Elephas maximus indicus: one gene and its partners. The protein of the gene in region 3 binds, or shares a complex with, the protein of the main gene of each other region. Links are inferred from orthologs where the notes say so. Each region holds a gene or a part of one and is shown on either strand. Other genes may lie near its edges.

Evidence for each region.
Region 1: PRPF8 (region 3) and CD2BP2 share a complex: the UniProt entries of both Homo sapiens proteins name them as parts of the U5 snRNP complex. The link is inferred for Elephas maximus indicus from reciprocal best matches to the Homo sapiens genes PRPF8 and CD2BP2.
Region 2: PRPF8 (region 3) and LSM4 share a complex: the UniProt entries of both Homo sapiens proteins name them as parts of the U4/U6-U5 tri-snRNP complex. The link is inferred for Elephas maximus indicus from reciprocal best matches to the Homo sapiens genes PRPF8 and LSM4.
Region 4: PRPF8 (region 3) and LSM7 share a complex: the UniProt entries of both Homo sapiens proteins name them as parts of the U4/U6-U5 tri-snRNP complex. The link is inferred for Elephas maximus indicus from reciprocal best matches to the Homo sapiens genes PRPF8 and LSM7.

What each region holds. Positions count from the first base shown.
Region 1 is NC_064830.1:89,630,581-89,637,528, forward strand, and holds CD2BP2 (CD2 antigen cytoplasmic tail-binding protein 2), read right to left. Parts: upstream 2,999-6,948; 5' UTR 2,858-2,998; intron 2,342-2,857; 5' UTR 2,311-2,341; coding exon 2,227-2,310; intron 2,007-2,226; coding exon 1,871-2,006; intron 1,720-1,870; coding exon 1,562-1,719; intron 1,456-1,561; coding exon 1,020-1,455; intron 938-1,019; coding exon 831-937; intron 764-830; coding exon 632-763; 3' UTR 510-631; downstream 1-509. Other genes in the region: TBC1D10B (TBC1 domain family member 10B), read right to left, coding at 5,525-6,244, 6,333-6,487, 6,843-6,948. UniProt on the Homo sapiens protein: Involved in pre-mRNA splicing as component of the U5 snRNP complex that is involved in spliceosome assembly.
Region 2 is NC_064821.1:38,290,611-38,297,651, forward strand, and holds the start of LSM4 (U6 snRNA-associated Sm-like protein LSm4), read right to left. Parts: upstream 3,013-7,041; 5' UTR 2,914-3,012; coding exon 2,911-2,913; intron 1,895-2,910; exon of another isoform or gene 608-1,894; intron 1-607. UniProt on the Homo sapiens protein: Plays a role in pre-mRNA splicing as component of the U4/U6-U5 tri-snRNP complex that is involved in spliceosome assembly, and as component of the precatalytic spliceosome (spliceosome B complex).
Region 3 is NC_064837.1:20,023,622-20,031,143, reverse strand, and holds the start of PRPF8 (pre-mRNA-processing-splicing factor 8), read right to left. Parts: upstream 3,015-7,522; 5' UTR 2,942-3,014; exon of another isoform or gene 2,935-2,941; intron 2,762-2,934; 5' UTR 2,751-2,761; coding exon 2,651-2,750; intron 2,111-2,650; coding exon 1,942-2,110; intron 850-1,941; coding exon 685-849; intron 599-684; coding exon 380-598; intron 255-379; coding exon 42-254; intron 1-41. UniProt on the Homo sapiens protein: Plays a role in pre-mRNA splicing as core component of precatalytic, catalytic and postcatalytic spliceosomal complexes, both of the predominant U2-type spliceosome and the minor U12-type spliceosome.
Region 4 is NC_064821.1:3,112,621-3,119,544, reverse strand, and holds the start of LSM7 (U6 snRNA-associated Sm-like protein LSm7), read left to right. Parts: upstream 1-3,914; 5' UTR 3,915-3,936; coding exon 3,937-3,942; intron 3,943-4,024; coding exon 4,025-4,115; intron 4,116-6,161; coding exon 6,162-6,233; intron 6,234-6,924. Other genes in the region: SPPL2B (signal peptide peptidase-like 2B), read right to left, coding at 3,714-3,782. UniProt on the Homo sapiens protein: Plays a role in pre-mRNA splicing as component of the U4/U6-U5 tri-snRNP complex that is involved in spliceosome assembly, and as component of the precatalytic spliceosome (spliceosome B complex).

The DNA of each region.
Region 1 (6,948 bases), on a different chromosome or scaffold from region 3:
AACAAGTAGCCCTGGTGGAACAGTGGTTAAAGCGCTCGGCTGCTAAAAGAAAGGTCTGCAGTTCAAACCCACCAGCCACTTTGCAGGAGAAAAGATATGGCAGTCTGCTTCTGTGAAGATTTACAGCCTGGGAAACCGTATTAGGCAGTTCTATTCTGTTCTAGTGGGTCACTATGAGTTGGAATCAACTGGATGGCCGTGGGTTTGGGTTGGTTTGGTTCTTAGGCTAACAACCTAAGAACACTGAACGGGAAGCCCAAAGGAGACTGGAAAATAGTGTAACTGATGGATTTTCAGATGGCAAGCAGAGTCCAAGTGGAGAGGCCGCAGGATGTTGACAGGCCCAGGCCCTAGTCCCTGAGAACAAAGGTGAGGTGGTTCAAGAGACCAGAGAGAAACTCCCAAGGAGCAACTTTATGGGAAGAAACACCCAAAGGAGCAAGGCAAGTGCAAAGGGATTGTGGAGAAGGCCCCCGGCTTCTGGTCCCAGCATAGCCAAGGCCCCAATACACAACTAAAGGCTTTTATTCGGAAAGAAGCAGCCCCCAGTGTCCTCACTTCCTGAGACAGCTGGAGCCTCCCCCACAGAGTCCAAGAAAGAAGGGGCCACTAAACTCGGCCCTCAGTGGGCTCAGGTGTAGAGGTCAAAGTCAATCCGTTTGGAGTTGTAGAACTGACCACCAGGGGGGTCCAGCTTCCGGCAATACACACCATCAGGGAAGTAGCCTTCATTCACCCAGGTCTGCAGGGAGAGAGGGCAGAGCTAGGGGAGGAGCTGTGGAGGTGGGGGATGGGAAGCACAAGGCAGAACTAGGTAGAAAAGGACTTACCTGCATCTGGGCACTGGTAAAGGGCCCATATAGCTCAGCATCCCGTGTGTTCTCCCATTTGTATTCCCACATCACATCCACTAGACCATCCCCTGGCGACTCTGCTTCTAAAATAAGAGGAAAAGCAATCTGGGCCTCAACCACCATGCCTTCTGCCCACAACACCCCTCTTCTGCCCTCCAAGCTTACCTCCTCTTTGGGCAGGGGTTGGGCTCTCCAGCTCCTCCTCTGCTACTTCCTCAGCAAACATGTCCAGAGAGGGTGGGGGTGCAGGGTCATGGGATCCCTGGGTCCGGCACCCCAGCCCCTTCAGCCGCATGGCCAACCGTTCCCGAGTCTCCTGGTACACACCAAGGTTGCCCCGGGCCACCATTTGGTCGGCCAACCCTGAGAGCCGGTCTAGGCGCTGTGGGGAGCTGGGCCGCCCAGGCCCTTTGCTGTCCCCTTTGCCTCCGCCTCGGGCCCCCAGACGCCTCAATGCCCCAGCAACTGTCTCCCTCGGCAACAGCAGCTCCAGAAGGCCCTCCAGAAGGGCTTGGGCACTCATCGGTGTCTGGCCCAGGCTGTTCTCCTCCTCTGAGTCTGACGTCTGATGCTGATCAGGTGGTTGCTCCCTAATCTTTACCTGTAAATATGAAGACAGAAAAGTTATTCCCTACAAATTGCCAGCAGGGCTCAGACTGCACATTTTCTGCCCACAGACCCCAGTCATGCCAGCCCCTGGGCCACACCCAATCAATGTTATCCAGCCAGTTGTCTCGGATCTGAGCATCCCGGTTCAAGAAGTAGTTGCCATCGGCATCAAAGCGGCCTTCCTCCATCTCTTCCTGTAGGTTGAAGGGTGTGATCCGCACACCTCCCTCGCTGGGGAGTGTGGCTGCTTCCTGACCTGCACCAAAGACACACATGCTCCATGCTAGGTGTGCAAAAAGAGGCAGTGGCCAAAAAAAAAAAAAAAAAGGCAGGAGCCTCCCTTGTCCCACAGCCCCAGAAGCCCCTCCTTGTCCCTCTGGCTGAGTCACATCTTCAGTATAACTCACCCTCCACATCTTCTGAAGCCAGGATGTCGTATTTGCTGGACCCCTCCTCATCGTCATCCTCCTCATCGCTGTCCAAAGAGTGTTTACCTTTGAAGCGGCTCCCAGGACCCCCTGCCCCAGCCACAGGATCCACCAGCTATGAGCAAGAATCAGCAAATCAAGAGATGCGGGATATTGGCTACTCCCCAAAATACTCCAGGATTTGGACCCAAACTGAAAATTCTTCAAAGTCATTCCTCAGAGAATATTCGAAAACCAACCCACTTTTTGTGTCCTCAGCTTTATTTCTCTTTCAGTTTCTAGCTTCTCTTTTCTCCCCTCACTCGTCCCAGAACACAGGAGTCTGGCCCCCTCACCTTCTTCTTGGGGACACTGATTTCACTCTCATCATCATCATCATCATCTCCCACGCCCTGGAAAGTCACTTTCCTCTTTGGCATGACGGGGCAGAGAAGGCTTCTCTAAACTGTGCTGAGAGAAAGCAGGCGAGGTAAGAGAACTGGAGGGGCGAGGAGGGGACTCAGGCGAGAGAGCCCCGCTCCCACCCCCACAACAAACATTTCACCAGGTACATCCTGTTCGGGAGGGGAGGGAGCACAGGATGAGTCCGAAAAGGGAGCTGGCAGCCAGGCAACTCCCTTGGTTCGGGATTCCAGAGGGTGCTGGAACCGGAAGAGAGGGTATCTCCCCATGGTATTCCCACCTTTAACGAAGAGGCAACCGGCTCTCCCACGTGACCACCCCCTCCCCGGCTCCCGCAGTCCTAGGCACGGCGGCACTCTGGGGGCTGACAGCTGGCCCCTCAGGGTCCCCAGAGCCCGCGGGGCCCACGCAGCCCCAGGATCTGGAGCCCTGGCCGCCCCACTCCTCCTAGCGCCCAAACTCCCAACCCCGCGGGGAGACCTCCAACTGCCGGTGCTATGTATACAAACTAGAGGGGCTGCAAAGCCAGGGGAGACTCAGGAAGTCCCACTGGCGCGCGCTCACCTGGGGCTCCAGGGGAGACGGGGGAAGAAAAAAAGAGATGCTTTCGCTAGGGATATATCCGGGGCGCCTGACCGCCATCACCCGGAAGAGAACTGCCGAAGGCGCCAGGGAAGCTGGAAGTGACTTCACTCCGGTTAGAGAACTAACTGAAAGAGCGGGCGGAAGTATGCAATGAGCGAGGGACGACCTGCCAGAAGTGACGTAAACTGGCGAAATGACAAAAAGGGATCGTATGACCGCTTAGACTCGGATCCGGCGAGGGAGGTGGTGTGGATCCCCTCAGGCAGCAGTAGAGGTTTTGGGGAGAAAGTGGAGTGCGCTCTAATTCAAGGGGCGCCCAGAGTCAGCATGGAGGGGCAGAGTCCGAGCAGGTCCAGTACATTCCTAGCCGGTTACCTTTTCAGGGTTCGATCACCCTTTTTCCACAGCTAGCTAAGGGCTCTACGCCCACCATCTGAGGAGAAATCATCCCTGCCCACTCCCAGCTGTCTGCTCCGTTCTTAGTGTCAAGAGACGGAGCCTTTTCTCTGGGGAAGCCTGCTCGACTCTTCTGATGGCCCACTTTGTGGCCCCTGACCACTCCTAGGTCTCTCAAACACCGAGCTCCCTTTAGGCCCCAAGGGAAGTCATTTGCTCCACACCTACCCCCAGAACGGCTCCTGGTTTCTCAGGTGGGAAAGCCACCAACAGGAGAGGTAGCCAAGTACCCAGGCCAGAGGCCTCTCCTGTCCCTCTCAGGTAGGCCTGCAAAAGGGTAGCAGTACCTCTCTCGAAGTGCAGCGCAGGATAAAGCCCCCACCCTTAGCAAACAAAGCCCAGGTGCTGGGAGCTTGGCCCAAGGGGGTGGGGTTGGGAGGTGGGAGGAGTGGGTCCCATTACTGTGGTAAAGAGGTCCCAAACTCTAGTGGACACTCAGGAGCTTGAATCCCACTAGGCTAGTGCTCAGAAGCCTGCTGAAGCCAGAGGACACCAGCAGGGGGCACCTAGGGCGACCATCTGGCCCCTCCTCTCTCCCGCTCCCTGGATTAAACCACCGTGAAACCTCACCTAGAGTCTGTTTTATTCTGGGGGTCAGAGCACAGGTCCCAGATCGGGATGGCTTCTTGCTAAAGAATGGGGTCCAAAACACCAGCTACCAGTGCTGCTGTTCCTCCTCCATGGAAACCTACCTGGAGCACCAGGCAGACAGCACACACCTAAGCCTCGTCCTGTTGGAGAACTGCCAGGTGGAGCCACACCTTGGAGCCGTGGAATCCAACATGGAATCCTACACCTTTAAGGTTCTGACCCCTGAGGTGGAGGGCACAGAGGGTGGCATGGACCTATCAGCTGGCTACAGAAAACCAAGAGCTGGAGGGCCTGGCATGGGCACTGGCCAGAGTGAGCTGGAGCCGGCTGGCAGCACTGCTACCCTCTCTGGAGTCCCCAGTACAGGAAAGTGTGCCAGGCGACTGGCCAGGAGCCCAGCTCACTCTCAGAGAGCTGTGGCTTTCTAGCCACCCTCACTCAGTACCCCCTCAGGCTTCTAGGAGCTGCATGAGTGCTTTAGGAAGGAGATCTGGGTGCTGCAGGAAAAGCGTAGAGGGCTCCAGACCAGTGACAATGGAGAGAGCAAATTCCAGGCAAAGCTGAGGCAGGAGCTCAACCAGTTTGTTGATGAGCGACTGAGATGGACCAAAGGCCAAGAGGCACCTGCCAAGACCAGCAGACTGCTTTGATAGAGACCCAGGTCCTGTCTGTCTTCCCTTCCTCCCTAGCCATTACCCCCACACCTCCTTCATCAAAAAACAAGGCAGAAGACAAGCCCAGGTACAACAGCAGGTTCTTTTCCGGTTCCTCAAAGCGCCACACGCACAGGGCGGGGGCAGGGACAGAAGAAAATGTAAACATAGGGTTCCACCCCTGGACCTCAAGGGAAGACTCCTCTGATAGGGGATGGAAGGAAACAAGGTGAAAGGTAGGGGCCCTCGTGAGACAAAGCAGGGGAGGCCTGAGAACACAGAGGAGGGAGAGCATGAGGGCAGGGGTGGGGAGGTGGGGGACATTTCCTGTTCCAGTGCATGTCCCCTTAAATAAACTGGGACACGAGCATTGTGGAAGGAGAACCGAAGAGCAGAAGATGGAGTGAGCATTCCCCCCCCAGGCTGGCCAGGTCCTCTGTACATAATTATAACAGAGATGTCCAGAAATAGATCAAGGAGAACCTTGGCCCCCAGCCAAGAAGTGGGGACTGGCAGGACTGGAGGAAGGAAAAGGGAACCCAGCTCCACCTCATAGGTAAGGGAAGCCACTGGAGTGTAAGAATCTGAAAACTGCAGACTCCCATCACCAAGAGTCACCCCCGTAATGACAAGAAATCAACCAGGACAGCACCGGGGAGGGGGACCCCACAGGGAGTTGGGGCAGGAGTGACAGAGACCCTGGCTGGGTCTGTCTGGAGGTAAGGGGCTCCAGATTTGCTCCTGGCTGCCTCAGGGAAATGCAGCTGCCCCATGCACTCTGTCTTGGCTGTGTAGGATCAGCAGCTGGCATGAGGAGATAGGGTATCAAGCCACCTTCCTCTGAGAAGGACGGCCTACCAAGGGGGCTGGGGGCAGCAGCCCAGGCCAGGCCTGCTCTTGGCTGAGGGGAAAAGGGGGGCCATGCAGTCCAGCCCCAGGGCAGAGGTCAGAAGTACGCATCCTGCCGGGCCTCAGATGCCAAGGACCTGTCCCCACCATCCTGAGGGGCTGGGGGCCCATCTGCCTTTCGACGCAGCGAAAGCTTCCGGCCTTGGGCCTTCTTCTCCTGCTTCTGCCGTTCCTTCTCCTGCTTCTGCCGTTCCTTCTCCAGCTTCTGCCGCTCCTTCTCCTGTTTCTGCTGCTCCTTCTCCTGCTCTTTTTCCCACTTCTGCCGCTCCTTCTCCTGCTTCTCCCGCTCTTTCTCCTGTTTCTGCCGCTCCTTCTCACTCTCCTTTTCCTGTTTCTGCCGCTCCTTCTCACTCTCCTTTTCCTGTTTCTGCCGCTCTTTCTCCTGCCTCCGGGCTTCCTTGCTGGTACCCAAGGGGGTGCTGTTGCCAGTAGGTGAGGGAAGGGATGGATGCAGTCCCTCAGCAGTGACCATAGGCCCTGGGGCAGGCCCAGCACTGGCCCTTCGGGCAGGAGGGGGTGGAGAGGGCGCCCCACCACCTAACCGGGAGCCTCGGCTCTTGAGGCCAGGGAGGCTGAGGAGGCTGGAAGAGGGGCCCAGAGGTGGCTGCTGCCGTCGCCGCTCTTCATGGATGGCCCGGGAGCCATGTAATCTCCGTGAGGGCCGATACTGCAGCTCCCCCCGGGTTTCCCGCCACTTCTTGAGCTGCGCTGCGTTTTCTCGCTCAATCAGTGCCTCTGTCACTGGGAGGTTGGTCACCTAGAAAGAGAGGAAATGGGTTGCAGAATGAAAAAGAGGTGCATGGATGGGCCAAAGCAGATGTGGAGTGTGTAGAGTCAAGTCCTACCTCGTGCACAAGGAAGTCCTCCTGCATGCACTGCTGCGGCAGGTTGCGCAGCTGCTCCATGGTCTCATACATGCCTTGGCAGGAGCGCAGCTTCTCCACAGAGCCCAGCGTGTGCCGCAGGAGCACCAGGGCCACTCGGAAGATGATCTTGACGCCTAGAGGGCCAGAAGAGAGCATGGGGGGATCAGGCCCCGGATCTCAGCCAGTCCCATTTAGTAGGGACTCACAGCCCCCATCCCTCTTACTGCTAAATCTTACAGATGAGGAAATTGAGGCCCGAGAAGGAAAATGAGTTGCCACGGGTTTCTGCTTCCTGGGAGGAAGAGCAGCCCTGGGTTGGTGGCACAGCCAAAGATCAGGCCTCAGTTCCTCCAGCCTCCAGGCTGCTTACATTGAAGCCTAGGCCCAACAACTACCTTCTGTCATGGGGCCATGAGAAATGTGACAGGGCCCTCTGGCAGTCACCACAGAAGCCCCAGCCCCTCAGGGCCTGCATGGCCACAGATGTACCTTCACAGAAGAACATGTCCCAGACACGCAGCACTGAGGCCCAGGGCAGGGTGCGGGCAAAAATACACATGAACCATTCTGTCATGTAGAGCACAGGGTCAATGCG
Region 2 (7,041 bases), on a different chromosome or scaffold from region 3:
AATCCCCTCACTTCACAGGGCATCTGGCACCCAGAAGAGGGACCTGCTAGGGACACAGCCAGGCCCCGGGGAAAGCTGAGGGAGGCTAATGTCTGCTGTGGCCATACAATTTGGACATCCTCCTATGGCATTCGCGGGACCCCCACACCCGTGACGGCCACCCTCAGGGCATCACGTGGCCCAGCGCAGCCAGGGAAGACAGTCCCCTCCCTACCAAGCAGGTGGAAGGAATGTCTGGGACACAAATGGGGTCAGCCGCACCCTGCTCACCACCCTCCAGTAGGCTCCCCGGTGCTTCCCAAGCCAGGCCCGCCCAGCTCCAGCTACTCAGCCTCCTGCTCCCCACTCCTGCCCAGGCCACCTGCCCTGCCCCCTCCCCTGATCTGCCCACAGTGTCGGCGCACACATTCCTAATAACCTCATTCAGGACCTGAGGTTTCCACTTCACATACCGCTGTTTGTCACCATCTAGAGACTTACGCAGTCTCTAATTAGCTTGTTTGTTTATCAACTGCCTCCCTGGCTAGACTGGAAATGCCAGGTCTCTGCTAGACTGGAGAGCTCAGAGGGCGTGGGCTTTGCTGAGCTCAGTGCCAGGCACAGGAGACGGGCAAGGTAAACATTCACTGAAAAAATAAACGACGCACATTCCTCAAGTAAGCACACAAGATGCATCGGGATATTCTTGTCCCCTCCCATAGAAGGAAAAGCAGGGACTTAGATGGGGAGACTACCACCCGTCTGTCAGTTTGTCCTACTGTGGTGGCCTGCATGTTGCTGCAAAGCCGGAAGCTATGCCACCAGCATTTCAAACACCAGCAGGGTCACCCACGGCGGACAGGTTACAGAGGAGCTTCCAGACTAAGCCAGCTAGGAAGAAAGACCTGACAATCTACTTCTGAAAATCAGGCAATGGAAACCCTACAAGTCATAACACAATACCGTCCAACTTGCTTGCTTTGGCTATGTTCTCAGGAGAGATCAATTGCGGGAGGAGGACATCATGTTTGGTGAAGTACAGAGCCAATTAGGGTGTGGGGGACCCTCGGTGAGATGGACTGATATAATTGCCACAAGGATGGACTCAAACATGCTGGTGATTGTGAGATGGATGCAGGACTAGGCAATGTTTCACTGTGTTGTACATAAGGCTGCCGTGACTTTGGGTCAACTCAACAACAGCACATGATAACTACATTTGGGAAGTGGAGGCGCCAGGATTGGGGTTGCTGACCTCCAGCCAAGGCAGCTCTCTGTGGGCAGTGGTCCTGTCTTGCCTCCTTCTGCATTCTTGTCCCCAAACTGTGCTGGAGAGAAAAGCAAGATAAACGGGCCGGGTCCTCAAGGACTTGAAACTTCGTGGGAAAGAGGAAGATGCGTGAAAGTGCTGAGTAAGACAGGAGAAGGCTGGTTCAGGGGAGACAGGGCCACCATGAGGCAGGAAAATCACAAAATTTTGAGGAAAAATCATTCCTTTCTCAGATGTCTGGGACCTGGAGTTCAAGTCTAGACCCACTGAGGAAGAGTTCCAATGGTTTCTCATCCAGGACCCTCCCTCCAGCCTGTCCCTGACCACAGGCTGAATGCATCTCAATGCATCCACTCTCTGAGCTAGGAAATGCCTGGAGGGTCAGGGCTCAAAGAGTCCATGTCTCAAAAGTGGGAACAGCATGGAGTCCACGCTTTGCAAAGGCCCGTTCTAGGCTCCAGGTCCTGGGTGGTACAAGCGGTTTGTGCTTAACTGCTAATTTAAAGGTCGGCGGTTAGAACCCACCTAGCAGTTCTCTGAAAGGCCTGGAGATCCCCTTCCATAATATTACAGCCAAGAAACCTTATGGAGCACAGTTCTCTTCTGTAACACGTGGTGTCACCATAAGCTGGAAACAACTGCAAGGTAAGCTTTGGTTTTGACTCTAGTCTCTAGGGGGCCCATCAGGGATTGGAACAAATATCCTGCCTCACGGAACTTAATTTTTGATAGGTCTTTCTGGTTTTGCCCAAGCCCTTGTGCCATCTCTGTTTCTGTCCAGCAGAGATGCCTGTTCCCTTCTCTTGGTCTCTACACCAGCCAGCAGGATTTAGGGCGAGCTCACCACAGCCCTTAGCTCTGAGAAATGTGGAGTGACACCTCGGGTGGCTCCCAATTACAGAATTCCTGTCTCCCAGAGTGGACACTAGAAGTCACTTCTCCACCGAGGGCCTCTACTTCTCTCCCTAAAACGGGAGGGCCCTCTCCCATTGCTGAAATTCCTCTGCGTTGGGCCTCCATTTTCCTGCCTATTGGGTCCATAGCCCCCAAAAAACACGTGCACTCTCCCTGGGCCTCAATTTTTCATTCTGTGAACCAGGAGAATACATTTAGTCGACGCTGAGCTCGAATCTACCCAGAAACGACAGGCTGTATGACTCAGGAAAAGGCAATCCCTTCTCTAGGTCTATTTTCCAGCCTGAAAACGGAAGGCAAGACAAGAGATACTGCTATCATACTGGGCACGTTCCAGCCCTGAAATCCTTGGAACCTGCTTAACTGGAGAACTCACACTGGCTCCCCGCACCCCAGTTTCCACTCTATGCGGTCGGGGCTCCTTCCCTACCCGAAAACCCATTTTGCGGCATTCACGGTGCACTAGGCGGGTTCACAACCGCTCGGGCCTCAGTTTCCCCCTCAGGGAAATGCAAAGCACTGCGGTCAGGCTGCTATAGGATGACTGCACGTCCGTTTAGCCCTAAATCGCCCGAGACCGACCTGCTGGAGAACCTGGCCTCAGTTTCCCGCCACGGGCCCAGGGGCGGGGTTCGAGGCCGGGACTGCACTCTTCCCCGCACCGCCCCGAGGGCCCCTGGCGTTCGCGTCCCCCCGCCTCCCGGCGAAACCCCGCCGTCACGACCACGCTGTCGCCCTCCCCTCACCATGGTGCCGGCGGGGACCGGGCTCGCCGGCCACTTCCGCCGCCGCCGCCGCCGCCGCTCGTGCTGTTAGCAGCCCCACTGCGCGCCACTAGGCTAAAGAGGATTGGCAGATACACGAGCCAATCACCGCGGGGGTTGGGGAACGGACAACCATTCCCCGCGGAGGTGGGCGGAGCCTATTTGCGCGAGGGGCGGGGCGAAGCCGTGTTCGTGCAGGAAAAGCCGTAAAGTCCTACGACGAATGCTGCGAAAGGGCGTGAAGCAAGGCGCGCCTGTGCAAGCGGCATTTTGGGTAAGGACGCATGCGCAAGCCGACACCCTCGCCAGTCTCCTGGGCGCCACGCGGTGGGCAAACCTGGTATTGCCTTCCGTTTGCCAATGACTAAACCTCGAGGCCCCTTGGTTGTTCAGTCCGGCTCTGCGTCGCCCTTCGGGACCGCTAGTCTTGTAATTCTCACGAGCAAAGTTGATACTTATTTAGGGCACGTGTTTTAGTACGTTGGAACCCCATTCACACCTCTCCGAGCCTCAGTTACCCCACTCCAAAACTGGTATAATGATAGTACTTGCTCTAGAAGGTCAGGTGAGAATGAATCGAGTTAAGCCATGAAAAAGCACTTAGAACAGTATCTGGCACATAGTAAGCACTTAAAACATGTGCATGCAACAAATATTTATTAAACAAAATGGACAAAACTCCCAGTCCCCCAGGGGCTTAGGAGCCAGTCAGCGAGATGATAAATAGGTACATGTTTTCTTTTCCTGGGGCTGCCATAGCAAATGGGCACAAACTTGGTGGCTTAAAAACAGAAATTTATTCTTTCGCAGTTCTGGGGCCAGAGATCTGAAATCAAGGCATTGGCTAGGTTGATTCCTTCTGGAGGTTCTCCCTCTCCTTTCTCTTACAACACTTGTCCCTGGATTTCCACCACCTGTCTGTTAGTGTGTCACATTGTGGTGGCTTGTGTGTTGCTGTGATCCTGAAAGTAAGCCACCAGTATTTCAAATACGAGCCCGGTTGCCCATGGTAGACAGATACCAGCAGCGCTTGTAGATTAAGACAGACTAGGAGGAAAGACGATCTACTTTTGAAAATCAGCCAATGAAAAACCTATGGATCACAACAGAACCTTGCCCAACTCCCTTGCCTTGGACACACTACCAGGAGGGATCAATCGCTGCAGAAGGACCTCATGTTTGATGAAGTATAAAGCCAGCAAGAGCGAGGGAGACCCTTGGTGAGTTGGATTAACACAACACCCTCAATGATGGCTTCAAACATACTGGCAATAGTAAGAATGGCACAGGACCAGGCAACATTTCATTCTGTTGTACATAGATCACCATGAGTTGGAGTCAACTTGATGGCAGGTATCGATCTATGTATCTGTGTTTGATTTAGGGCCCACCCTAAATCCAGGATAATCTCGATATTTTTCATTTAATGACATCTCCAAAGACCTTATTTCTAAACAAGATCCCATTCACGGGTGCTCAGGGTTAGGACTTGGACATATCTTTTTTTAATAATATTTGTTGTGCCTTAAGTGAAAGTTTACAAATCAAGTCAGTCTCTCACACAAAAACCCATATACACCTTGCTACACACTCCCAATTACTCTCCCCCTAATGAGACAGCCCGCTCTCTCCTTCCACTCTCTTTCTTCGTGTCTATTTTGCCAGCTTCTAACCCACCCCCCCGCCTCATCTCCCCTCCAGGCAGGAGATCCCAACATAGTCTCAAGTGTCCACCTGATCCGAGAAGCTCACTCCTCACCAGCATCCCTCTCCAACCCATTCTCCAGTCCAATCCATGTCCGAAGAGTTGGCTTCGGGAATGGTTCCTGCCCTGGGCCAACAGAAGGTTTGGGGGCCATGACCACCGGGGTCCTTCTAGTCTCAATCAGACCATTAAGTATGGTCTTTTTACGAGAATTTGAGGTCTGCATCCCACTGCTCTCCTGCCCCCTCAGGAGTTCTCTGTTGTGTTCCCTGTCAGGGCAGTCATCAGTTGTAGCTGGGCACCATCTAGTTCTTCTGGTCTCAATATGATGTAGTCTCTGGTTCATATGGCCCTTGCTGTCTCTTGGGCTCGTAATCACCTTATGGACATATCTTTTTGGTGGCACAAAAGAGAGAAACCCTCAATGAGATGGATTGACACAGTGGCTGCCATAATGGGCTCAAACATAACAATTATGAGGATAGTGCAGGAGCTGGCAACGTTTCTTACTGTTGTACATAAGGTCACTATGAGTCTATGAGTCGGTATTGGCTCGATCGCACCCAACAACAACCCCATCCACAAGACCCTGTTGTATTGTTGCTGGGTGCCATCGAGTCAATTCCAACCCATAGCAAGTCCATGTGATAGAGTAGAACTGCCCCATAGGGTTTTCTTGAGTGTAATTTTTAATCTTTACAGAAGCAGATTGTCAGGCCTTTCTCCTGCAGAGCCGCTGCGTGGGCTTGAACCTTCAACCTTTCTGTTACCAGCTGAGTGCTTATCTGTTGTGCCATTGGGACTCCTTAAAACTTGCTGTGGAGTCAACAGAGACCCTCTGATGATAAGGTCCCTAGGTGGCACACACTGAGCTCAGCTGGAACCCAAAGGTTGGTGGTTTAAACCCACCCAGCAGCACCCAAAGCAAGGCTTGGCATTCTGCTTCCATAAAGATTACAGCCAAGATTACTTCTACTCTGTAACACACAGGGTTGCTGTAAATTAGAATTGACTAAGAGGCAAAAGACAACAATAACAGCTCCACTCGCTTTAGCAGGTGTTAGCTATAATGACTCCTGTAAACGTAGATGTCTATTTGAATAGTTAATTTCTGCTCCCAGGTGATCTCCTGTGTAGTTTCATACGCTTGTGAGCGTGACTGCAGCCTCAGTCCCAGGAGAGTCCCGGCTGGGTGGCCATGCAGGGCTCTAGCCTCTGGCCACATGCCGTCAGGTTTGCAAACGGAGCAATAGGTACCCCCCTTCAAGGCCCACACCTCTCCTGGCCAGCTGAGCCTCAGGAACAGCCTGTGAGCTTTTTCTCATCCAGCCCTGGGCCAGGGATTCTGGCTGAAAGGACTGCTTGACTCTGCACAGGAAGCCCTTAGAGCTCGGCTTCTCAATAAAAGATTCCCCTGTGCCAGGCCGCAGAGACTTGGGCAGAGGGGACTGGAACTTGCAGATCTAGATGCCTCCCACCAGAAAGGCTTAGGCAGGAGGCACTAAACCTCTTCCTCTGGGGCCTGGCTGAGGGGAGAAGGGCCTGAGCACCCGGCAGAAGGAGCAAGTGGTCTCCTTCCCTTCTCCTTGAAAAGAGAAATAATTACCTGTACCAACCAGGAGCCTTGGTGGCCCAATGATTAAATGCTCAGACGCTAAGCAAAAAGTTGGTGGTTTGAACTCACCCAGTGCCTCCGCTGGAGAAAAGACCTGGCAGTCTGCTTCTGTAAAGTTTACAGCCTAGGGAACACTAGGGGCAATCTACTGTATCCTATAGGGTAGCTATTAGTCGGAAGCGACTCGATGGCACACAACAATAATGGTTAATGCCACCACCTGTCTCAGTTTGTCATACTGTGGTGGCTTTGGTATTGCTATGATACTTCACCAATGGGCTCAAACATAGCAACAATGGTGAGGAAGGCGGCGGACCAGGCAATGTTTTGTTCCGTTGAGTCAGGGCTGACTCGATGGCACCTACCAGCAACAACGATTCTGAAAGCCATGCCACTGGTATTTCAAATACTAGCAGGGTCACCCATGGTGAACAGGTTTCAGCAGAGCTTCCAGATTAAGACAGACTAAGAAGAAAGACCTGGAGATTGATTTCTAAAAATCAGCCAATGAAAACCCTATGGATCACAACAGAATATTGTCCAACATGGTGCTGGAAGATGAGCCCTCCAGGTTGAAAGGCACTCAAAATACACAAAGGCCTCAACAATGGACTTGGGCATACAAACGATTGTGAAGATGGTGCAGGACCGGGCAACGTTTCCTTCTGTTGTATATGGGGTCATCATGAGTCAGAGCCAACTTGATAACAGCTAACAATAATAATGATTAATGACGCTGAGCATCTTTTCATGTGCTTCTTGGTTTTGTGTGTCTTCTTTGGAGGAATGTCTG
Region 3 (7,522 bases):
CTAGGCCTAAAGGGCTAAAATCCTCACTCTCTCCAACTTACTGCAGGTTGATGTCTCGAACAAGAGGTTCAAATTTGGGGCCTCCAGGAATGGCCATATTAAGTGCCTTGGAGGTAAAGAAGGCCTTTAGATCAAACAGATAGAAGTAGTTGTCATCTACCAAGTCTGTCAGGAGCTGATTGGCCAGGCGGTAGAGAGTGGACATCATGGGCAGTGTGAACTGCCAACGCTGGTAAGTGGAACCATTCACATACCTAGGGTTAAAAAAAGGGGACCAAGTCAGGTAAGTATACCAGCTAGCAGAGCCATACCACCTACTGCTCACCCGGGACTCCGAGGCTTCTAGAACTCTTATAGAGTAACTCCAACCATCACTCACTTCCTGCTATCCCTTAATGGCTGGTGGTCGTAGAACCAGTCCAACACAGGGGCATCCTCCTCTGGGTCCAGCTCTAGCTGAATGGCCTCAAGTGGCTCAACATCTAGAATATTGTCAGCATAGTCCAAGGGTGGCTCCTCATCATCAAAAGGGGGGAAACGCATCCTCTTAAAATGCCTCCTGTCTCTCTTTTCTCGACGCATCATAATCCACATCGACCTGGAAGTCAAGAACATTACACAACTTCTACTCACTGCCCCTTCAGCCAACACCACCACCACACACCATATTCCAGCCCTTCTCACCCCCACTGGGAGATGTAGACAGGCTCAATAACCCAGGGAATCTCATTGACGAAGGAAATAGCTCCAGTGATGTGGTACAGCACAGGCACATCCCGAATCTGCTCCCAAGGCATGGGCATGTTCTCCAGAAGCTTGAGGACTGCATGGGGCATGTACTTTAGGGCACTGTGGCATTAGGAAAAGAAAAATTAACAAGCATGACAAGGTGTTCCGCCACTCAGCAGAGAACCCACATGGTATCACAGTACCACATTCCACAGAAAACACTGCCTTACAGTCCAAACTCCCAAACTTAGCACACCTAAGCCCTCCAGGATCAGAAACATGTCTTACCCTCTCCAACCTCACATTACACCACCTTCCCCCTTAAACTTTACGGTCCTGCAATATTGGATAGTAGTCCCTTTAAAGCAACAAAACAACACCCTCTTTGTTGTCCAGCTTTTCACATTTTATTATTTCTGTACCTTCCCACAAGTAACAAAAATAAAATATTCATCATACTTCATTGTAACCATTTCACGTCTGTCATGCCACTAGACTGTTAGTTCTATGAAGGCAGAGATCGTTACTGCCTTCTTGACCGTTACATCCTTAGAATCTAGCATAATTTAAAATATATATATATTTTTGCCTCAGACCAGTTCATTAGCTGGCTAACATTTTTATGTCCAAATGGGACAGGAATTTGCTAAGGCATTTGTACCTGAGAATATACAGACCTCAAACCAAAAAAACCAAACCCACTGCCGTCGGGTCAATCCCAACTCATAGTGACCCTATAGGACAGACTAGAACTGCCCTGTAGGGTTTCCAAGGAGCAGCTGGTGGATTCAAACTGCCCACCTTTTGGTTAGCAGCCCAGTTCTTAATCATTGTGCCACTAAGTATCTCAAACCTCAGAATTTTGGTCATTGAGGTTTTAAGACAGCTAAAAGTACAAAGTGTCCCACTCTGGACTTCAATCCATTCAATGACAGGAACATATGAAGAAAAGCCAAAGCACCAAAAAGACAAATTAAAGCCCCAGCCCCAGATAAAGAAGAAAAATCAGAGCAATAAAGAGCATAACTGGAAAACCTGCAAATTGTCACAGAATCCTAGTGGTTTCCTTCTTTCTCTACAAACGCCAAGATGGCTGTCATTGTAGAGTCCTGTCCCCAAATGATAGAGCAGCTATCTAGCACTGCAACCTATAGGGCGGCGAGAAAGTAAAGGAGCTAAACTCCAAATGAAATAATTCCAGATGTTCCTTACCCCAAGTAGACCCTTTTGTCATGGCGAAACTTCCTGTTGGTCATGTCTCCATGGTCTCGAATAATCTTTCTAACATGTTCTGGAGGCATGTCTTCCTTCTGAGCATCCACAAACCCAAATTTCCGCTTTTCTGCGTAGCGCTTGGCCTGCAATTGCTGCCATTTTCGGGCTACAAAGGCATCTCAGTTTGAAAAACTGCACTCCCTTAGCCTAATGATCCCCATCTCCTGCCCTAGGGTAAGCACCTGTCCGGGCCTGTGAGGGGGGCGGGGCACCCAGATGTGGAGAAGGTGACTTCCCCATCTAGAAAGAACAATCTCCACCAATTCTTTTGTCAACTCATTGTGCTTTATCTTTTGTTTTTTCGTCTTTCGACTTATGTTTTACAGACTTTTAAGTTTTTTATTGTCTATCTCCCTCACTGCAATTTAATCCGTAGAGGCAACAGCTTTGTCCTCATCGCTATTATATTCCCCATTACTTAGATCAGCTCCTACAAATAACAAACGCTTAAAAATACTTCACTAGTTGAAAAATAAATAGGGCTAAAAAGGGAGTCCACATCTACCGGTAATGACCTGACAAGCGGTGGGGGGGAAACTTTCTAGGTTGCCCCAGGAAAGGCTTTCCAAACCCCCCGCGCGCACGCGCGCACACCGGCCCCTAAGTCTCGGGGCCCGCGCGCGTCATCCCGGCACACTTTCCTCACCTTTCTCCTGCAGCTTCTCCTCCGACATGTAGTCCGGCAGCGGGGCTAAAGGGCCGGGCACCGGGTTACCCGGCCCCCGGTAAGGAAATACTCCAGCCATGCCTGGAGAATCTGGGGGACGGAGGGGGTGAACAATCAACGAGCAATAGGGCCTGGGCCCAGAAGAGGCGCAACATGAACGCGTCCCGGAGACTGCTCCCCAGCCCCTGCAGCCCCGCCTTGTGCAGAGTGCACCCAACCCGGCCCAACACCTCCCGCCGCTCAGTCCGGCCCTTAAAGCCTACCACGCACCCCCACAGCCCCCTCGCTCAGACGGCCGCTCTTCCCGCAGCGCAATGGCGGCAAAGCTACGTCCGCTCTGCGTTCCCAACGCCGGAAGATGCGCAAGCGGGTTTAGCAGTTAACCCAATAGGCGACCAGATTCTCAGATGGATTAGAGAACTCACCAATTAGAACTGCGCGCCGGGTTAAGGGGGCGGGTGCATATGCGGAAAGGACTTGAACTCAAGGGGTTGTGGAGGGGTAGGCACAAGCCCCGCCTCCCGTATTTTCAGAGGTTGATTTTGGGGCCTGTGGTAGACTTCGTCTAGTTGGCGCTTCGCGTTCTAGTGTGAGGAAGGAGAGACTAGAGCTTCAGAGTTTCAATTTGTCAAAATTGCACATTGTTCTGAGTCTGTTTTTCATAAATGTAGATTTGAGATGCAGGACTAGTTCCGGGTCCATCAGTCCTTTGTTCGTTCATTGGACCATCTATAGAGTCCCCACAAAGTACCAGGCATTGGGGATATACCAGGGGAAGAGCGAACCGCAAGCTCTCACAGAGCTCACAGGTTAGCGGGGAAGTCAGACTAGAACGCAGGCTGTTAACAAATGCTGTGTGATGAGAGTCCCGGAGTAGGGCTTTTCACCCTGACTGCAGAAGATACCGTGGGGAACTCCATTGTTGGGTGTCTTTACCCCCTCCCTCTCTATTCCTCTTTTCTCTCTCTGGCAATGATTTTCATTACACTATGGAGTGTAATGGGCACCCCATGGAGTACAGTGGACACCCTATAAATGCTTCTTGACTTGCCCAGATTCTGTCTTGCTGCCTGAATTGCTCTCCATCTCCTGCCATCCTCGTTTCACATTCCGTCCCTCTTGCTCCGCCCTTTGCAGCTCTGTTTCTGTAAAAACTTTGAATCTGACTCAGTCAATAGACAAGTTTGTTGGAATTCCCACCGAGCTTATTGTGGGGGATTTGAAGGTAGTGTAGCCTACACACCCTCTCGGTCTAATGGAAACTTAGAACTCAAATGTGAAATAATTAGAGAAAAATGCAAGCTAGAGAACAGGCAAGTGCTGGTCGGTATGGGTGTTCATACATTCCGAGAAGGGAGGAGAATTATTAAAGAAGTTTTTACAGAGATCATGGATGTGAATCCAGCAGGTCACTAGGGTCAGTGTCACCCAATGCAGTAACTCACAGTGTCACCCCTGCCATGGACCTCCCCCCATACCAGACCACAAGGAATCCTTAGGAATGTTTTTTGTACTAGAGATACTTGTAAATCATCATTCCCATATATCACTCCCTCTTTTCCCTTTATTACTACTTTGTTCTCAAAAAAGCTATTTGTATAGGTTCACAAATACTAATTACCACAATATTGTAGCTAAAACACCAGAAAATTTGACAAAACCAGGAACTATAAAAACACCAGCAACAAAAAACAGCAGTTCTTGTAGCATGTGCAGTCCACGTGATTCGAATCATCATTGTGATTGGGTAATAATGACAGCGCTGACCAAGGGCATGAACCCCCAGTGCTACCGAGGGCATTAAAAAAGTAAATTAGCATAGAATTTTAGCCTTGTAGGTATATTGATACATGTAAGCTGGACTTATGAAAAATGTTATTGTTATAACTAACTACAGAGATATTTTTATAAAAAATCATAAATTTTTGCTGAAACCCTGCACAAAAATTTTATAGACAGTCATTTTGGTGTCACCCCCTTTGACAGTGTCACCAGGTGCGGTCAGCACCCACCCCACCCCCCTAGGAGATGCCACTGTGTGAATGATTTGATGGGGGAAATAAAGGGGAAGGAAAAGGGAGTCTCAGGTGATTTGTACCCTTACCAGTAGACTAAGCACTTAGAAACAGGAACTAAGGTGGCATGCTCTGAGAACAGCGAGCAGACCAACCTGGCTGTGATTGGTCCAGCATCGTTATGATTTTCATCATGATCATTGCAGTGACGTCCTTCACACCCGTACAAGGTTCACTATGTGCCAGGCATTGTTCTAAGCAGGGGTGAAATCTAATATGGTTTGTAATTTCACCAGTAGTATTGTACCAATATCAATTTCCTGTAGTTGCTCTTTTCTTGTTTTGATTGTCCCTGCTATGGTTATGTAAGAAGTTATCAAGCTGGGTGAAGCGTATGCAGGAATTCTCTCTATTATTTTTTAACAAAATTATTGGGATGCGGTTTACATACCATAAAGCTCACCCAATTTAAGTGTACAATTCAATGATTTTTAGTATATTTACACTTATGCAATTACCGCCACTAATTCCAGAACATTCTCATCATCCCTAGAAGAACCTTTGTTCCCATTAGCACTGACTTCCATTTCCTTTCCCCTCATACCCTTCAGCCCTAGGCAACCACTAATCTACTTTCTATTTCTATAGATTTGCCTATTCATGACATTTCGTATAAATGACTGGCTTCTTTCACTTAGCATAATGCTTTTGAGGTTCATTCCATATTGTAGCCTATCAGTAGGTCATTCATTTGTATTACCAAATAATATTACATTGTATAGATATAGCACATTTATCCAGTCAGTTAATGAGGATTTAGGTTGTTTCCACTTTCTGCCCACTGTGAATAATGTTGCTGTGAATATTTATACAAGTTTTTGCTTAGACATATGTTTTCATTTCTCTTGCATATGTATCCAGGAGTGGAATTGCTGGGTCATGTGGTAACTCTATGTTTAACCTTTTGAGAAGCTGCCAGACTGTTTTTCAAAGCTGTTGCACCATTTTACATACCCACCAGCAGTTCATGAGGGTTGTGATTTCTCTGTAACCTCATCAACAATTGTTATTATCTGTGTTTATATTGTAGCCATTCTGGTTTACATGCAGTTGTATCGTATTGTGGTTTTGATTTGCATTTCCCTAATTTCTACGATGTTGAGCATCTTCTTCTGTGTTTTATTGGCCGTTTGTATATCTTCTTCCAGGAAACGTCCATTCAGATCCTTTGCCCATTTTATAATTTGGTTGTCTTTTTATTATTGAGTTCTAGGACTTATTTATATATTCTAGATACACATTTTGAAAATTTTTTTCTCCCATTCTGTGAATTGTCTTTTCACTTTCTTTTTTTGCAGCCAAGACATGGCGTGATTTGACCTCTTGGCTTCTCTATCCTTGCCTCGTGCTGACCTGTCCAACAGCAGCTTTTTAGATCCCCAGACACTCCAAAACATGAACTTTGGTCTGTTCATAAACCTTATGGCCACCCCACTCCCCTCTCCCTCTTCCAGTGTAGTAGGCAGCCTTGGAGATGGCTCTCAGTGATTCCTACCTCGTGGTTTTATCCCCTTGTATTCCCTGCCCCTTAGTATTTACTTCCCTTGGAAGTAGCTGGACTTACCGACTCAATTCTAACAGGACAATATGGCAAAAGTGGTGGGATGGCACTTCTGAGATTTGGTTATTAAATGTCTTTTCACTTTCTCGATGGTACCCTTTGAAGCACAGAAGTTTCTAGTTTGAATAAGGCCCAGCTTGTCAATCTTCTGTTTTATCACTTGTGGTTTTGGCCTCATATCTTAGAAATAATTGTGTTACACAAATCAGGAACATATGCTCATGTTGTCTTCTAAGAGTTTTACAGTTTTAGTTCTTAAATATAGTTCTATAATTCACTTCAAGTTAATTGTTGTATATAGTGTGAGGTAGTGGTCCAAATTCATTCTTTTGCATGTGGATATTCAGTTGTCCTATTACTATTTGCTGAAAAGACTGTTCTTCCCCCCATTGAATTGCCTTGGCTCCTTTGTTGAAAATCAATTGACCTTTTGTTTCTGGACTATTCTATTAATCTTTCTGCCTATCTTTAGGCTCTCCATGCTATTTTTGCAACTTCTATGTGAGCTAAAATTATTTCAGAGTAAAAAGTTAATAAATAAATAAGCTTATTAAATCCTCAATCTTACATGGTAAGCACTATTACTATCCCTATTTTACTGATGAGAAACCCAAGCTCAAAAAGTGAATAACATGCCTAATTACATGAACTGTGTGCCAGGTTCTCTCTAACAACTTTACATGAATTAGTTCATTTTATGGTTACAATAATCCAATGAGATTGGTCTTACTATTACCTCATGCGGTGCAATGAATCGCTTTTATATGGTCTTCTGGCCATGGACTTGTAAATCCCATTAAAATGATTGGCTGGGACTATGCAAATAAGGTGTATGGAACCCTTGCGGATATTGGACAGCCTGCTAATGCAAATAAAGTGCATGGAAACCTTGAGGGAATTGGTCAGTTTTGTCATCCTAAAAACAAAAAGGCTTGAAAAGAGCCAATCCCAAAGGTTGAGGGGAGGCCTCACTACCATCAAGAAGAGCCAGGAGCAGAGTCCATCCTTTGTCCTAAGCATACCTGTGCTGAAAACCTCCTAGACCCAGGAGACAGAGCTGTAACACTGGAGATGGCAGTGGCATGAGATGGCAGTGGCATGAGATGGCAGCAGCACAGGACCGGCAGACTGCTGCAGTTGGCTGGCTGATGCATAGAGTGAGAGAGTTGAGCACCTTCAGGCAGGAGGCTTCCTGGCAGAGTGGGGTGCCTCCGG
Region 4 (6,924 bases), on a different chromosome or scaffold from region 3:
CCCGCGCGCCAGCTCAGCCAAAAGGCCCAAAGTCCCTGCCCCAGCGCGTGACAAGGACAGTGGCTGCGGTCTCAGACCCAGGTCCTGGCTGCTCCACTATATGTGGCCCAGGACAAGGGGCCCAAGGCAGTCCCACCTCTGGGTCTGGGAAGACCCCCTGGGCCTGCCAGGGGAACAATGGGCCTCAGGAGGGCAGTCATGAGCTGGTCACCGTGTCACACCATAACCCTTGGGGCTGTCCCCAAGTTTTCGGCCCTGGAGTCCCTGTGGTGCACTGCTCTCTGTGCTCCTGTGGCCCCTGCCCTTCTCACAGGGCAGGGATGAGCGCCCTGCTCCTCGGGGTCCCCTGGTCCCTGCCCTGGTGACAAAGGGTAGCCTGGACAAGGGGGAGATGAGCCCCACCACTGGGGAGGGCTGACGCCACGGGAGGCGCTTCACCAAGGGCTGAGGCAAGGGCTGACGTGACCAAGGTTCTCTTGGGCCCCAAGGCAGGATAAGGGGTCCCCGTCCCCAACTCCCCCGCAGACACCCTTCAGTCAGCAGTGCACCCTTCCCACAGCCCCAGCGGTCAGTCAGAGCCCCCGGCATCCAGTGAGGCTCTGCCTGGGCTGCTCTGAGAGGACTCACGTTCCACAGCAGGGGTCCGAAGTCTACAGCCCACAGGCCAAACCAGCCCACCTTCTCCTTGTGTAAATAAAGTTGTACCGGCACACAGCTGTGCCCCTCATGTACCTGTGGTCTGTGGCTTTCTCACTATAATGGGCTGAGTAGTGGCAACAGGCGGCACAGCCAGCAGACCAGAAGGTTCCCACAGAACCTTAACTGAAGCCTGCTCCACGGGATCCAGGCTGTGGGTGAAAGGGCCCATTCGTGTAATATGGGAACTGACAGAAACTTCCTTTTACAGAGCTCGTTTAAGGGTGCAGAAGTAGGCTTCACGGATTGCCCTCACAAAATCTGCAAAGCAAACTGGCTTTCCCTTAAAAAAAGGGCTGCGAGCTTTTATCAAACACCGAGAAGGCGCCACCCTCTCGCCTGCTGAGTTACGGGAGCTGGCAGTTCTTCAGTGACACACATTCTACAAACACCCTGAACTCTAGGCTGCTCCATTTGTGCCTGGGGAACCAGAGATACCTAGGACAGGAACAAGGATGGGGGTCTGCCTTCTGACAGTTACCAAGCAGATATAGGAAACTCCAGAATCTCTGTGGAAGTGGCCGACATCCAAGGGGTTTAAAAGACACCAAGGAGCCAGGTTATGGAGCAGTCTTCCTTCAAGAAAACCAGTAAACCAGTGCCCAGGGAGTCGACCCTGCTCCTGGTGGCTGAACTGTGCCCCACAGAGTTTTCAGTGGCTGAGTTTTCGGAAGTAGGTCACCAGGCCTTTCTTCCAAGGTGCCTCTTTGTGGACTTGAACCTCCAGCCTCTCAGTGAGCGGCTGAGCATGTTCACCCTTTGCATGAGCCAAGGACTGTTCCTTCCAAGAACACTTAGTGAAATCTTGGAGACGGTGAAATCATCAGGACCCAAGAATCATGGGAAAAAACACATTAAGGTGGAGGAGGCACAGGTTGAGGCGACAGGACAGCCTTCATATTCCACTTCATATACCTTTCATAGTAAATGGGAGTGGGGAGTGGTATTGGGGAGGTCACTTTTCTTGTCCAGGGTCACAAGACAGTGGCCTGTGAATTCAGGACTGTCACTGAGCAGCCTCCACCCAGCGGGAGAGTTAATCTTACTCCTGGGAGCCAGGAGTCAAATATACCCATTTCCACTACACGACTGAGAAGACGCCCCACAGCACCAGGACTGTGCCCACAAGGGGCCTTAACCAGGGTCCAGGGAGAGCAGGGCCCACTGCTCTCTTTGAGTTGCTCAGAGATTCTCTGTGGCTCACCTTGCTCAGGATAAAGCCAACTCCCCAGCGCTGTGGGCCCTGTGGACTCTGCCCAATCTGACCGTCTGCCTGAAGCCACACCCCCAACTGGCCCCTCCCTGCCGCCTCCTTCAGACCCATGGGAAGGGCCTTTCTCTGGATGTAAGCTCCCTCTCCAAGCACCAGACCATCTTATGCACAGACTACAGTCCTCAAATAATCATCAGCTCTTGTACCTCCTGGCTTTGGTCATGCTACTCCCACTGCCTACAATACCTTTCCTCTCCCTTCCCAACCCAACAAACTCCTATTCATCCTTCAAAACCCTTCTCAGGTGTCACTGCTCCTTAAGAGCTTTCCCAGGCAAATTCACCAGTCATGCCCTCTGTGGCACTCCCATGATTCTTTATCCACCTCTTCTTTTCTGAATCTCATGCAAAACATCTCGAGAGCTCAATGTCCCTGCCCTCAAAGTGTCACAGGCTGGTGAGCGAGGAAGATGAATAACCAGGCAGGTACCACGTGTTCAGTGCTACAATGTGGGCAGTAAGGGGGGGCTGGGGAGAGGGTATCCTGGACAGCTTCTGGGAGGGAGGAACAGGCAAGCAGAGACGGGAAGGATGACTAGGGGTTAACCAGGCCAGGAGTGGAGAAAGCCAGTTCCAGGGTAATAGAAAAGATCAGAGAGCAAAGTGTCACCGATAAAATCTGCATCCTGTCTGAGTCAGGAAGGGAGGGAGGAAGTGGCTCTGTGAGCAGTCACATCACAAAGACCTTTCTAAAGATGAGAAGCCACGCAAAGGCTCTCATCTGGAAGCAACAAGGTCTGACACGCTTCTGGAAAAGATGGCCCCTGCTGTGTGAAGAGTGGACTGGAGGGATTCGGGGGGAGGGACCTGAGTGACCACAGGGAGAGGGGAGGGGAGCCCCAGCAGAGGTGGTGGTGGACAGGCTCCTAAGACGTGTGAGGAGTTAGAGCTGTCAGGCAGGAGTCCTCAACGTTAAAGAGCAGCAGCGAGGTCTCGCTGATCGCGCACCATTCCCAGAGCTGCTGCGTAAGCCAGGACAGACGGGAGGTTTGGAAAAAAGGTGCACTTATGGTTGGTTTTCTGGGTATGACAGACAGCAAGCATCAGCTATCTTGTTATCGGTGCCCCACAAGAAACTGAGATCCTTAACATGAAACGACAAATAAGTAACATATTCAGCCCTCTGCTGGTCCACACTGCTCTTGCCCCCCCTTGTGCAGACAGGTAATTGGTGCTCAAAGCGAGGAACTCCCTTGCCCAAGGTCACAGAGTAAAAGATGGGGCGCAGGATTCCCCCCAGTCCGGGGCTGGGCTCTGAGCCCTGTCGCGACGCTGCCAGGCACGGGGATCCCGCGCTGACCCCCTCCAGGGCCTTCCCCGCTCCCCCGGGGCGTGTGCTAGCATCGCGCTCATTTCGCATAAGAGGAAACTGAGGCTCGGAGAGGCTCAGTCACTGGGCCAAGGCCGCAGAGCCAGAGAGCGGGGTCCTGGGCGGCGGCTGGGGAAGACCCCGAGACGGACAAGCAGGACTCGGGGGGGAGAGGACGGGGGTCCACAACTTTAGCCCGGGCCGGAACTGGGCGATACTGCAGCTAGGGGGGGTTTCCGCGGCGAGGAGGGAGAGGAGCTGGGGACGAGCCCCCAAGGTCACTCCGGGCCCCGGACCCGCGGGGCCGGAGTACGGGGGGCGCGGGGTCCCCGAAGCTGCCCCCAGCCGGGCCGGGCTGGATCCCGAGAGGGTCCCCAGGGGCGCGGGGAAAGGGGAGCCGCAGCGTACGGGGCTCCCGGGACGACGCAGCCCTCACCTGGGCCGCGAGGAGAAACAAGGCCGCCCAGAGCCGCGCCAGCGCCGCCGCCGCCGCCGCCACCGCCATGTCGGCCGGTCCCCGCAGCCGTCGGCTGATGTTTCCCAGCAACGCCCCGGGCGCCGCTGCGCGCAGGCGCGGGGCTGCGCGGCTCCTGTACGCGCGTGGGTGACGTCAAAGGGCGCGCCGGCGGCGCCTGCGCAGAGCGGCGCGGCGCGGCAAGATGGCGGTGGGCGCACGGCGGGACCGGGCGGGCGGCGTGGGGCTGGCGGGGCGTTCTCTCCGCCTCACGCGCTCTGCTTTCCTCGCAGGACAAAGAAAAGAAGAAGAAGGAGAGCATCTTGGACTTATCCAAGTACATCGATAAGACGATCCGGGTGAAGTTTCAAGGAGGCCGCGAAGGTGAGGCAGCCGCTGCCGCCAGCACCCTCTTATAGCTGTTTAAAATAATTAACAAGAGCTACGATAACAACTTAATTTTTAGGCAGCGTTTTCTCCGCTTAGACACTGCTTTAAGGGCTGCACGCGAACTAACTCATACAGTCCTCCTAACAGCGCTGGGAGGTAGATGCCGTTGTGCCCATTTTGCAGATGGGGAGACTGAGGCACGAAGCGGCGAACAGACTTAACCCAAAGTCACAGTGACGCAGCCGGGATTGGGATTCACGAGTTTGCCTCCTGTGCGGTCCTGTCCCTCCAGCTCCCTCCCAGGGGCTTCCGTTCCTGCTCCCTCTACACCAGAGTTCCTCAGCTTGGGCACTGCTGCCTGGAGGGCCGGATCGTTCTCTGGGGTGGGGCAGTCCTGTGCACTATAGAGAGTTGAGCAGCACCCCGATCACCCACTCGATGCCGGTAGAACCCTCCCCCTCCCCCCCCCCAATGATGACAGCTACAAATGTCTCCAGACATTGCAAGTATCCTCTCGGGTAGAATCGCTCCTGGTGAAGAACCCCAGTCCGGCAGTCAATCACCAGTCAGTGGGCAGAGAAATCTGTGAAAAACAGAACTTGAATCTCTGCTCCCTGCTTAAACCCTCCCTTGGCTCCCCATTGTGCCAGGATAAAATCTAAATCTGTATGTCTGAGCAGCACCTGTAGCCACAGGGCTGGAAAGGCACACGTTTGCTTCCTGCCTGGAATACTCTCACCAGGTGAACTGCCAGGCTAACCTGCTCCCAGTTCAAAGGCATTTGTTCTGGGAAGCCTTCCCTGATCCTCCACCTCAGGTCAGTCCCCTTTGTTTTAAGCTCCTAGTAGCACCTGTGGGGAAGACACCGGTGGCTCGGTGATAGAATTCTTGCCTTCCATGTGGGCGACTCAGGTTCATTTCCCAGCCAGTGCACCTCATGTGTAGCCACCACCGACCTGTGGAGGCTCGTGTGTTGCTGTGATGGATGAACAGGTTTCAGCAGAGCTCCCAGACTAAGACAGATTAGAAAGAAATGCCTGGAAATTGACTTCTGAAAATCAGCCAGTGAGAACCCTGTGGATCCAAACGTCTGATCCACAGCTGATTGTGGGGACAGCACAGGACGGGCAGCGTTTTGTTCCTGTGTGGGGTAGTATGGGCGACCGAGGGCGGCTAACAACAAGTACATGTCGCCACCTGCATCTTTATGTTTGCTAACGTGGCACTTAACTCTGCCCTGCGGGGATCTAGTGGTGAAATGGTATGTTCTCTGAGGGCAGGATTCGGCCAGGTTCTGCTCGGTGCCCATGGGCAGAGCAGGGTCACTGCATCCCCAGCCCCCCACCAAGTGCTTGGCTGGCAATATTGCCTTTGATGCTCATCTGAACCCTGTGAGGTGGCTGTCATTATGAGCCCCGTTTTGAAGAGGAGGAAGGACCCCTGCTGGTGCAGTGGGTAAGCACTTGGCTGCTAACCAAAAGGTTAGCAGTTTGAACCCACCAGCCGCTCTGTGGGAGAAAGACCTGGCAATGTACTCCCGTAAAGATTACAGCCTAGAAAATTCTGTGGGGCAGCTCTACTGTGTCCCACGTGGTTGCTGGGAGTCAGAATTGACTCGGTGGCAATGGTTTTGCAGAGGTGGAGCCTGAGGAGGTCACACAGTGGGAAGCCACAGAGTCAAAGCCCAAACCTGGGCAGTCAGGTGGCCGTCCACTCCAGGGGCGGGCAGACTTCTCCATCAAGGGCCAGACAGGGAGTATCTTATTTTTGCACACCAAATGGTCCCTGTCCTGCTGAATGGCTTCCGCCGTTGCTCGTTGGCTTGTCTCGTCTCGTTCTGCTTGGAGCTGGCTATCCCTGTTCTCCTTTCAGGGCTCCTCCCCATTCCCCCTAGTCCCCAGCTTCCTCTTCCCCTGAAAGGTGGTCCTTTGTGGGAGTGTGAACCTGCCTGGCCCTGGGGCACCGAGGATACTCATCCAAAGAATGGATATTGATCTCACGCCTTCTCGTTTCTCCTTTCCTTCTGGTGGTTTCTACAAGCCAGTGGAATCCTGAAAGGGTTTGACCCCCTCCTCAACCTCGTGCTTGATGGCACCATCGAATATATGAGAGGTGAGTTCAGGCCTTGTCCTTTTCGTTTTAAACCCGTGGAACCTATGCCTAAGTTACGGGTACCAAGCCATGTCGACTGGGTAGCTACAGGGTGTTCCATCCCCCACTGGCCCTGGTGTTCCTGCAAAGCCTGTGAAGCTCACGGTCCTAGGTTAAAAGAAATGTTTTGTTACCACATGCAGTGGTCTTTAGGTGCCTATTACCCATTGTTGTCGAGTCGTTTCTGACTCATAGCAACCCTGTGGTACAGAGTAGAACTGCCCTATAGTGTTTGCAAGGAGTGGCTGCTGGATTCAAATTGCCGGCCTTTTGGATAGCAGCCGAGCTCTTAAGCACTGCGCCACCAGGGCTTCAGGTGTGCCTATTAGGTACTTAAAATGTGCCAGGCATGGTTAGAAGGATGACGAGGGAAGGAAGCATGCGGGAGATATAGAGAGCTGGGAGGGGGACTTTGGGGCCTAGCAGGGACCACCGGGCCTGGGCTGAGGACTGCTAAGACACCAGGAGGGTCTTGCCCTTCGGGAGACCAGCAGTGTGGCTGAGACAAGACTGATTCTCCTGGAAAGTTTAACAGCATAATGTCACCACAGAGGTGCGACCTGGCAGGGCAGAGAAGTCCTCTCAGTGGGGAGCCTGCTTCAGGCTGAGCCGCCCACTCCCTCTGGAGCATCCTGGTGGCCCCTCGTTTTCT